Mus musculus: one gene and its partners. The protein of the gene in region 2 purifies or fractionates together with the protein of the main gene of each other region. This does not show direct contact. Links are inferred from orthologs where the notes say so. Each region holds a gene or a part of one and is shown on either strand. Other genes may lie near its edges.

What was found.
Region 1: the proteins of Cnot10 (region 2) and Tnks1bp1 purify together in Homo sapiens (affinity purification with mass spectrometry; 4 studies listed by BioGRID and IntAct, with this or other methods). This does not show direct contact. The link is inferred for Mus musculus from reciprocal best matches to the Homo sapiens genes CNOT10 and TNKS1BP1.
Region 3: the proteins of Cnot10 (region 2) and Capzb purify together in Homo sapiens (co-immunoprecipitation; 3 studies listed by BioGRID and IntAct, with this or other methods). This does not show direct contact. The link is inferred for Mus musculus from reciprocal best matches to the Homo sapiens genes CNOT10 and CAPZB.

What each region holds. Positions count from the first base shown.
Region 1 is NC_000068.7:85,070,458-85,073,648, reverse strand, and holds the end of Tnks1bp1 (182 kDa tankyrase-1-binding protein), read right to left. Parts: intron 3,043-3,191; coding exon 2,892-3,042; intron 2,777-2,891; coding exon 2,640-2,776; intron 1,944-2,639; coding exon 1,786-1,943; intron 1,554-1,785; coding exon 1,493-1,553; 3' UTR 1,481-1,492; intron 1,053-1,480; 3' UTR 601-1,052; downstream 1-600.
Region 2 is NC_000075.6:114,616,166-114,619,811, forward strand, and holds part of Cnot10 (CCR4-NOT transcription complex subunit 10), read right to left. Parts: intron 3,208-3,646; coding exon 3,058-3,207; intron 1,830-3,057; coding exon 1,627-1,829; intron 1-1,626. UniProt on the Homo sapiens protein: Component of the CCR4-NOT complex which is one of the major cellular mRNA deadenylases and is linked to various cellular processes including bulk mRNA degradation, miRNA-mediated repression, translational repression during translational initiation and general transcription regulation.
Region 3 is NC_000070.6:139,191,701-139,195,835, reverse strand, and holds the start of Capzb (F-actin-capping protein subunit beta), read right to left. Parts: upstream 2,938-4,135; 5' UTR 2,811-2,937; coding exon 2,808-2,810; intron 1,836-2,807; exon of another isoform or gene 1,707-1,835; coding exon of another isoform or gene 1,617-1,706; intron 1-1,616. UniProt on the Homo sapiens protein: F-actin-capping proteins bind in a Ca(2+)-independent manner to the fast growing ends of actin filaments (barbed end) thereby blocking the exchange of subunits at these ends.

The DNA of each region.
Region 1 (3,191 bases), on a different chromosome or scaffold from region 2:
ATAAACAAGAAATAAATATTTTTGTGTCAAACTACTGAGATGGGGTAGTGGTGTTTAAATTGGAATACCCTCCTGCAGAGACACTAGGCTCAGAGAATGGAAGGGGAGTGACGTGTCTAACAGACATCTGAGTGAGTTCCTGGCAGCTGGAGTATGCTTGCTAAGTCCATTGGACCAAGACGAGCCTAGGTTAGCAGCACACATCTCTGTGGTCTAAGGAGGCATTTCCAGAAAGGGAAGATTCAGCCTGAATGTCCCCGATACTACCCAACAGCCTGAGGAGCAGGTAGAATAAAAGCAAGAAGAAACCCACTAGCCCCAAAACGAAAGGTTTCTCTGCTTCCCAGATACCATATTGTCTCTGCTCTGTTCTAGCCTGCCCTCTAACCCCTACACCCCACCCCCAGCCCTGATGGAGTGAAGCCATGTCGTTCTTCCATTGAGGTGTTTAAATAGTTTGTCACAGGGAGGAAAAGCTAAGCTCACACAGCGGGGAAGTAGCATTCTCCAAATGCTGCCCCACAGTGGGGGAATACGAGTCACACACACACACACACACACACACACACACACACACACACACACACCACAATCCTGGACAACCCCAATTCCCAAAAAACTTTATTCATTGTTTCAAGTGGTAAAATGTCATTGGTCTCTGTGGGGCACCTAGTGGGGCAGAGGGAGACCTGGGGTGGGGCTTGGGGTGGGAGCCCACCCATTACAAAAATCAAAGGCTTTTATAAAAATGCTATAAATTGGTATCAAAAGAAAACCCAAGGGAGGCAGAAGATGGAAGCAAAGAGGGTAAAGGGAAGAGACTGAGGGAAGGACAAGACCTCCCACCACTGGGCACGGGAATCCAGTTGGGGGCTGAAGGGGTGCAAGAAGTTGGGACGGTGATACAAAGTGCATAAATGTGCCTCCCAGACACTCCTCAGAAGTGGAGGGGAAAGGAGGCTGCAGTCTGAGCCCTGGTGGGGCTCCAGCTGTCTCCTCACTTGGGGACCCCACAGGAATGGCACTGCCTGAGACTGCCAGATGGGAAGGACCTGCATTGGGTGGAATAGAGGACAAAGGTCAGAGAAGAGATGAGGCCCCTGCTTCCTCTGCCCTCTGGACATCCTGATTCCCTCATGAGAGCCCAGTGCTGAGGAGGTCCCTGCTAGGACCTCAGGTTAGAAGCTCTAAGCTGCACAGTCTAGCTCAACACATAGGGGCAACCACAGCACCTGAAAGACTGTCCAACACATAGGATACAGGCCGGTATGGAAGCCCCTCCCCCTCTTCAGAGCCAGGATAAACACCAGCCTTGGGAATAAACTTAGAGGAGCCAAGGGACCTAACCAGGTCTCCCTTGTCTCCTCCAACCTCTCACAGAAAGAGGGGACCTAAGGGCTAGAAGAGAGCACAGGACAGGGCCTCCCAAGTTCTCCATACCAGGCGCTACTCTCCCCCAAGCCCAGAAGCACAGCCTCACCTTGGCCCCTGATCAGATCTTTTTCTTTTTTAGCTTCAGGGCTTGCAGCCAGTTGGGCGACGATCCTTCTGACCTGGAAGGCAGAGTACAAAGGTCACAAAAGCAAAGTTTAAAGAAACTGAACAAGGTGAGAACAGCTACCCTCCAATCAAAAGAGGCAGTCGGGTTCAGTTGCAGGTCTGGGTGCCCCTACGTAACATGAAGCAATTAATTTCAGTTTTCCACCTCTATAAAATAGGTTTCCTCTTCTGAGGATAATACCCGAACCACAGGAAATAAAAAAAGTACCTAGAAGTGTTACTTACCCTGAGGATTTTTCTGGCTTTGGGGGTAATGTAAGGGGCTTCCCTAGCCCTGGGACCTTGCAGGACTTAGAACGCTGGACGGAAGACTCTTTCTGGCTTGATTTGCTCTCTGTCACCTCCCCCTCCTCAGCTGAGCGGTTCCGGGAGCGTAGCTTGGCCTAGGAGACACAGATGAAATATAAACAGGCAGCAAGATTCAGAAGACCAGGCCTTTCCCAAGAGTGTGCAGTCCCCTGAGCCAGGCCTGAACCTTCTACAGACAGCCAAAGATCTGTCTCCCTCAGAGCAGATCCTCACAGCCTGAACACATCAGAAAGATGACAGATGAACAAAATTCAGTGAACAAGGCTGAACAAAGAGGGGTGACTTCTCACACCTATGTTTTTACTTGTCTGTTCCTACCGCAGAGCCAACTCCTGTGCCTACCTCAAGGTTAGGAGAAACTGCTTACAAGAAACCCTACCCAAGCCACCTCCCGTTCCCAGCCACGGTCAGGAAGTAACTCCTTCTACTGAACAGGCCAGGCCATGGCTGTACTCCCCCCTTTATTCCTACATTTCGCCCTTCACCTAAGCTACTCCTGGGTGTAGACTATGCCCACCCTTCAACCCCCACCCATTACCCTGGAGGCCCTGAGATGAAAGAACACCCTGTTCTTTCTTCCATCAAACTTGGCACACTGCATAGAGTCGAGCAAGGAACAAGGTAACCTTCCAGAACCCACAATGAGAGTAGAGATGAGAAAAGGGACTATAAGGTGCATGGCTGTATGGATGGCTGGTTGGTTGGAAATGCTGGGTAGAAGGCTGGCAGGCCAGATGGCTGGGTGTGTGTGCTGAATGATCAGACGGTACCTTCAAGGCTGATGGGCTCAGGCCAGGAAAGAGGTTGACTTTCAGCCCTTTAGTGCCCAAGGACATCCGTGTCCGGCGGCTCTGAGGCTCCTCTACAACCTCCTCATCTGAAGATGGCACCCGGGAGGCCCTTGGCTCTGCAAACGTTAGGGAACGTGAATCGAGACCTGAGCAACATGCCAGACACCACCCTTACCCACACACAAGCCAGACACTGACACAGACTCCATTCAATTAACACACTGATCGTACCGGTTGAATCTTGGAACAGCCGAGTATCCGAGTCTGCTGTCTCTGACAGTCCCAGGGTACCCCCAGGCCGGATGGCTGGGGCCCGGTGCCCCCGCTTACGTCCTAGGTTGGCACGACTCCGATACATGGCACTATCAAGGATCTCAGTGTCCTGCTCAAAACAATAGCAACAGCATTGCTATTGCTGACCCGGAGCCCTACATCACCCCAGAGGAGCATCTCAACATAAACCAGGAGCTGATTGATGGCTGCTGCAGTTTCTTGTTGCCATGAGATACCCCACAGCCTATGTCTGTCTCC
Region 2 (3,646 bases):
TGTGAGCCACCATGTGGTTGCTGGGATTTGAACTCTGGACCTTCGGAAGAGCAGTCGGGTGCTCTTACCCACTGAGCCATCTCACCAGCCCCTGCCTGAAGCCTTTTGTAAAAACTTTTTTAAAAACTAAAGTACAGAGGCTGGAAAGATGGCTCAGCGGTTAAGAGCACTGACTGCTCTTCCGAAGGTCCTGAGTTCAAATCCTAGCACCACATAGTGGCTCACAACCATCAGTAATGAGATCTGATCCCCTCTTTGGAGGTGTCTGAAGACAGCTACGGTATACGTAATATAATAAATAAATTTTAAAAAACAAACAAACAAAACCCCCCTGAAGTACAGAAGAGCTGGCTCAGTCGTTTAGAGCACTCGCTGCTCTTGCAGAGGAATCCCAGTGTTTCCAGCAACCCACACAGCAACTCAAGTTTCAGGGGCTCTGATGACCTTTTCTGGCCTCTGCAGGCTGCGCACGAATGTGGTGAGCACATACACAAGCAGGGAAAACACACTATCCATAAAAATAAATCTTAACAAGGAAAACCCCAAGCATAGAGCTAAAGAAGCAGCTCAGAGGGTGAGTACGTTCCTGTTATGAACAAGGCTCTGAGTTTGAACCAGCACTCGTCCATATGTGTGCATGCCTGCCCTGGCTCTCTCCTCTCCCTCCCCCTTCTAACTTTCAATACATCATCAAAGTCTTCCGAGAGCATTAGTCCCCTCTCTGCTGCATTCACGTCAACTTCTGAAACCCTGGATGTGAAACTGCCCCGCACAGGCTTCTTCTAAACCCTTGGCTCTTTCACCTGCTGCTCATCAGAAAATGCTGCTCAATAATGAGCCTCAGTATCCTTCGTAGCCTATGTCAGACAAGTGTGCCGGGCAAGCCTTAGGAAGCCAACTGCTCCACCCCTCACAAACCAAGGGAAGAGAGGTGAGGGGAACTCAGACACCTGGTAATTCTTATTTCACCCAATTCACACCGACCCCGCTCAGCCAGAGACTCAGGAGGCTGCTACCGACCGAGAGAGAACAGCTCAGGGCAGCCCAGTTTCAGACACTGAGGACCGGTGTGTCCGAGAAGATGCATGACTGTCACGTGCCTCACTGGAGGGAGTGCTGTTTAATGCACTCCTGTGCACACTCCATCAGAGCCAGGTGCTCTGACCCCTGGGACAGAGCCCACCCTCCTGCTTACAGACGGCACAGCGCAGCCCTAGCAGGAGCCACCACGCCTCACTGTTCTGACACAGACTCCTCACTGGCATCAACCTTTGCCAAGAATTACAGCTAAGCAAGTGACTGTGAGCAGAAGACTTACATTCAGTGGCAGTGAAAATGGAAATGAGGTCTTAGATTCCCAGGTTTTTTTTTTTTAAGTTATTTATTTATTATATGTGAGTACACTATAGCTGTCTTCAGAAACACCAGAAGGGGGCGTCAGATCTCATTACGAATGGTTTCAGACACCATGTGATTGCTGGGATTTGAACTCTGGACTTTCAGAAGAGCAGTCAGTGCTCTTGACCGCTGAGTCATCTCTCCAGTCCCAAGTATCTTCTGCTTTCCATGTACCAAGTGTAGAAGAGGAGAAACAGAGACTCAAAGAGCTACTCAAGCAGCACTCACCCCTTTATTGGCAGCAATGCAGCACTCAGCCAGCCGTAGCCAGAGACGAGGATTCGCGTGGTACACCTGAACAGCTTCAATCAGACACTCGAAGGCAGCGAGAGGCCTCCCGACGTGCAGCAGCTGGATCCCACAGTTGTAGAGCAGCTCATATCTTTTGTTGGTCAGCAATGTACACATGGGTCTTCCAGAAAACTTTTTGCCTTGTGATAAAATGTGGAGAATAGACAAGTAAACACTTCCATATTTAGTACCAGTGACTCCAATGTGACACTGTAATGGTTCTCTCTGAGGTGGTTTCTCCATGCCTAGCTCCCCAAGTACTTGACACTCATGTCAGATGTCTGTACTAGGAAGGACACAAATGCCCAGGATTGGGCCAGCTCTTCTGGCAGTGTTGCTTCAGGGAGGCAAAGAGCTGAGTGAGTCACTGGCTTTCTGAACTACAGCACCTTGCCCTCCTTCAGACCGCTTGGCCACTTTGTTACCATATGCTACACTTTCTCAGTGACTCAGAGTCTACAAGACTACCACTTGCCATTTAAAATACATTTTTCATCACTTAAATAGGTGTTTATGGTTTTAAAAATTACAAAGATGCTTGATTTTAAATTCTGATCAAAGATCCATATAATCTGAACGTAAATGACAAACTTCAGCAAGTTTCTTTAAGGCTTTTTTTTTAAGATTTATTTATTTGTTTATTTGTTTGTTTATTTTATGTGAGTACACTGTTACTGTCTTCAGACACACCAGAAGAGGGCATCTGATCCCATTACAGATGGTTGTGAGCCACCATGTGGTTGCTGGGAACTGAACTCAGGACCTCTGGAAGAGCAGTCAGTGCTCTCAACCACTGAGCCATCTCTCCAGCCAGCTTTAAGGCTCTGAGATGCCACCAAAACATCACTTGTGAAGTTCTGCCAACAATTTATAATATTAGCCCACAGTCAAGAAATCCTAATGACTAATCAGAACTGGATGGCATACCACTCAGGACTACTGATTCAAGTCCATAACAAACTGAGGGTAATGTAATGTTTTGGTCTTTTCTTTTTTTCTGCTATGTCTATGTGTTTTCGTGTGTGTGTGTGTGTGTGTGTGTGTGTGTGTGTGTACACATGTGGAAGCCCAAGCTTGAGGTCGAGAATCTTCGTCAGTCATCCTTCTGTCTTATTCTTGCAGGCAGGACCTTTTCATTAAGCTGCAGCTTCCCGAATGAGCTGGTCAGCTTGCTCCAGGACCTCTCACCTCTGCTCTCTGAGGCCGGAATTACTCTCCCACTGGATGACTGCTATTCCTTTGATTAGGACATCTTGTCTCATCCTCCAAGCCCTGAATGTATCACCCACGCCCAGATCCCTCCCCGACACTTGCTATTTCAACCACGTGTGTCAAGGAGGACACTGCAGGTCCCCAGTGCTTGTTCACCTGGATCAGTGCCACCCGCACTGAGCTGGGCGCAGACGTTGTCATTTTCCTGCAGAGCCTTCTTGAAGTAGAAAATCCCCAAATTGTGCTTGCTCATGGCAAAATGGATACAACCAAGGTTATTCCAGAACATGCATCTCAAGCATTCACCTGGAAACAACACAAACTACTTTACACACATAATCTGTTTTTTGCAGTCTCTCAAGTAGACAGCAGACCTAGTTGCTGTCAGTTAGCTAACCTATTTGGAAAGTCAGTTAGTCCCCACAGGACAGTTCATGAGGCACAGGGCAAAGCTGAGTGAAACCCTGTTTTGATGGATTTCTAAAACAACCCTGATACTTTTTTATTGATCTTATTCTTTTTAACGAGTGATAAAACACAGTAACTTAATATATATGCCACACATCCACAGTGAAATCCTGTGCAAACTGTAAACCGTGAAGCACCTAAACATGGGAGCTAGAGTTCAGCTCAATGGTAGAGCTGGCTTAATATGTACAAGGTCTTAAGTTGAACACACACACACACACACACACACACAGAAGCAGCTAGAATACATTAAGTGAAGAATAGCAGGGAGAATGTA
Region 3 (4,135 bases), on a different chromosome or scaffold from region 2:
CACCATGAGCTGGAAGTCAGAAACCAGAGCCCTGTCAGGGCTTTGACACTGTGAAGCACTTAAGGACAGTAGTAAGACTGTCTGCTAAGGGGATGTAAATAAACCCCATTTGCCTAAGCACTTTTACTGGGGACAGTTAACTTGACTCCAAGAAAAATCACTCCAAAGTCAAATGCACTTCAAATCTCTCCCCCTGATGGGTACACTGGAGCTGGCTAGCCATTTGCTCTACCAGCCAACCCACTGAAAACAGAGCTATGGTCCTCTTCATTCATTACCTAGGATGCAGCCCCACTCTGCCACTTCTGGTTTGCCCAAACTACCCACATTAGGGCATCAGATTATACTAGCATAGTAGGCAGTCAGAAAACATTTAGGAGGTTGGGGTACATGAAGAACAAGTTAACGAGTGTCAAACCTGGGTGGCTGCGCTCACAGACCATCCCAGATCACACTAAGCAATCTCCTGTCTCACCCTCACTGTTGCCCAAGCTGGCCTTGAATGCCTTAAACAGCTGAGACTGCAGGTATGTGGCACCACGCCCAGCCTTCCACGACAGATCTTTCAGAGTTAGGTACTGTTCTAGGACCAGATAGACAGGGGCAGAAAACACAAGACCAACATCTCTGTCCCCTAAGAGCTCGGGGATCAGGCCCATAGGCTATGCTCCTGTCTCAAAATGGCCATTTCCTAACAGGAGAGCCACCCAGAGTCTGCAGAGGTAAGCACTTGCTCTCCCTGGCTGGGCCTGAGCATCCATCCCATCATTATGGTTCTTCAACAGTGTCATTATATCAGACACACAACAGCAGACAAGGAAGACCGCAGTCTGGAGGCTGCTAGGCAGGCTCCCACTGGCCAAGAGTGCTCTCCACACAGATGCAACAACATTTTGAATGAGTTACAATGAATGCCCCAGCTTTTCTTCACCTGTCAGATGGACAAAGCGAAAGCCTAGATGATTCTGTGGAGACTAAGTCCCATCTGGCCACTCCACCACCCTCTCCTGCTTTGGTGCTGGGAGTACACACAGAAAACTTCAGTCTACTTTGAAGAATCTCACCCAAAACTGTCCTGGACAAGTCCTTTCCCCCTGCAGACTAAGGTCAGGGGTTCAGACCCCCAGGCCCGTTTCCAGCCAAGAGCAATAACATGAAAACCTGTCTTGCCTATGCTTTTAATCAATATATAGAAAGTTTACTAGCCAATCAGACTTAGTCATCCCCAATACAGTTGCTGCACCCTTGCTAAAACAAGGCACAGGGTACCTCAAAACCATCTAGGGTCCAAAATCCCCTCCTAAATATCGACCAGGCAGGAGGGGAGCCACCTGTAAGGCTACACGGAGCAGGTGGGTTGCCTTCCCTCTCAGCCTACCTTACAAGGCTTCCTTGACCATGTGAGGTAGTTCTCTGGCCCTTCCACCACCAAAGATGGTGGGCCTGCTCTGCAGGTATCCAGGTAGATTAGGGGGTGCAGGGGTATGGGGGAGGAGGGAAGTGACACATCTAAGGCTCCTCAAATAAGTTGCTAGCATAGTGTGCCTGTCTTCATTACCAAAACAAACACCATGAGTGGAGTCCGGGAGCTCTCCGGCCTGTGAGTTTCTGCTCACCTGCTCCGAGGCACCTCCATAATCAGCAGTCCCAACTCTAACAAGCTGACAGTTCAGGGGGAAAGGAAGGCTGCGCCTGCTAGGATGCATCGTGTCCAGGCCGTAGGTTGGGCTGCTGAGCTCCGTGTCCCCCTAGCCCCAGGGCTGCGGCCTCACAAGAGCAATTGTGAGTTCACCCCTGTCCAGTTGGCTTACCAACCCGTCAGCACTCTGCTCCCCACTCAGGCAGGGCACCCCTCAAGACGCGCTCTATTAGCCGCACTACCACTAGGCCCTCCCAAGGGAAATGCCCTGTTCTGCCTTCCGGGCATACAGATGCCGCCCTTCTCTCCCTCGCTCGCCTGCTCACTCACACCGAAGCGGCCTCCCCAGAAAGGGGCAAACCTAGGAAAGGCTCAGTACCCAGACCACCCCCACCCTGGCTGGGGCTCTCCCCCGCTCGCCAGAGGCTGCCCAGAAAGAGCCTCCTAGGAACAGGAGAGGGGACACCTGGGTCAGGAGCAGGACACGGAACAAGCAGGGTCTAGATGGGAGGGTGAGAGCAGCGAAGGGCTGACGCAGGCTAGGCTAAGTCGTGAGAAGTCGGGGGAAGGGGACGGCTAGGGCCGGGGACAGGGAGGTGCAGGGAGGGGGGGAACACAGCTGGAGTAGAGAGGCCACACTTGAGGACCGACCGCAGAGAGAAGATTCCATGACGGTGAAGGAAACAAACCTAGGCAGAGTTCACTGGAAAGGGCTTATCGGGGTGCAGACTGGGGCCATGGAGAGGAGAAGAGTTTGGGGGAAGGGGACCTAGACTGGACCACTGGAGCGAGAACCACGGTCCTAGCCTGGGCCCTGGGGCCGAGGCAGGAGCCCAAGTACAGCCCATGGGATGAAGGCCTGCGAGAGGGGTGCCCGGCCTGGCCCCTGAAGGAAGGAAGGTCTAGCCTGGGATAGGCGAGACTAGCCTGGACTTGCAGGGAGAAGAACTGGGCTCCACATGGAGCCCAGGGCGGGGTCATAGGCTATCAGGGCCTCCCGCCGCCCACTCCGGACCCGAAGAGTGGCGTCTGCCTAGGGTCCGGGACCCCGCCCCTCCCCCACCCCGGATCCCCACCCTTCCCGGGCCGGGCGGGTCGGCGAAGGAGTGGACGCGAGCTCCGGCGGTGAGAGGGGTCCCGGGATGGAGCCGTGAAGGGGTCCCTTTACCATGGTGGCGGCGGCGGCGACGGTCCCTGTCCCGGCGTCTGTGGCTCTCCCCCCCGCAGCAGGGCCCTGCGCTTCCACTTCCCCGGGTGCCCAAGAGTGAACATCCGGGTCAGCGCCCCCCTCCCCCCCCCACCCCCCCGCGCCGGGCAGCCACCACCTTCCTTCCCCGCCCCGGCCAGCCCGACCCGCCCCCCAGCCGCCAGCTCCCGACCAATGAGAGCGCGGGGCCGCAGCGATCGCCAAGTATGGAGCGCCGCGCGGGGGGCGGGGACGGGGGCAGGCCCTGTGGTCGAGTGGGCGTGTCCTGTCTCAGGAGGGGCGGGCCAGGCGCAACGCTCCTGCGCGGCCAGGGCTGTGGCGTTCCGGAGGGACTGGGTCTACTTGCGTCCCTCCTCTGACTGTCAGCCTCGCTTCTCGCAGCTGCAGGACGCGGGCTAGCTGAGGGTGGAGCGGTTCACTGGTTCCCCTGGGCGGAGGATGCGGAAGGCGCCGAAACTAGGAGGGGACCGGCCCTCCGCAACCCACCCGGACCCGGAACTGGTGCGCCGGACGAGGCCCGGCCCCTACAGAGCGAGCGGAACCTGCATGGGGAAGCCGGCTCTGCCGCCCCTGTTGCTGAACACCTGCTATCAGGACCAGGCGGGCAGCTTTTAGGTACCAAAAGATGACAAGTGAATAAGCCATAAGGATCCCTGCCTGCACTTCATAGCTACCAGAGTAGTTGTGGGAAAGACCCGGGTAAGAAGACTAGAACATTTGGGTTCAATAAATGCTGTTTCATATACTTTTTTACATTATGTACAGAGAATCAGCCCGTTTCCCTAAATGAGTATCTCTCTCGAATCATATAGTGACTCAGAAATCCCTCTTTGTTTTCAGGTCTGAAGATTGAACGTAGAGCCTCAGGCAGGCTAGGCTAAGCTCTTCCACTTAACTGCAGCCCCAACCAGAAATTTGCTGTTCAAAAGAGTGAATTTTGTTTTGTTATCTAGAACTCAGGAGCCCTAGAATTGCACGTTTTGTTTATAACAACCCCCTACACGGCTTGCTCACCCTCCGTTTAGAGTCATATCAGGTCCTGAGAAGAGATCAGAAAACATCTGAGGGGAAACTGTGCCCTAGGCCTCTGAGCTTATAGTCAAGTGAAAGCTTGCAGGGACAGCCACCAGCAAAGAAAGCGTCCAGGTAAGTCTCTCAAGAATGACATAGACCAATATTACAGGAGTTCAGAGAAGGGAGTGGCACTTAGAAGGTCATTACACCGGAAGTATTTATCATGTAGCTATTGGCCAAGCACTGTGTAGGAAGCAGGCTGGAGAAATTACAGC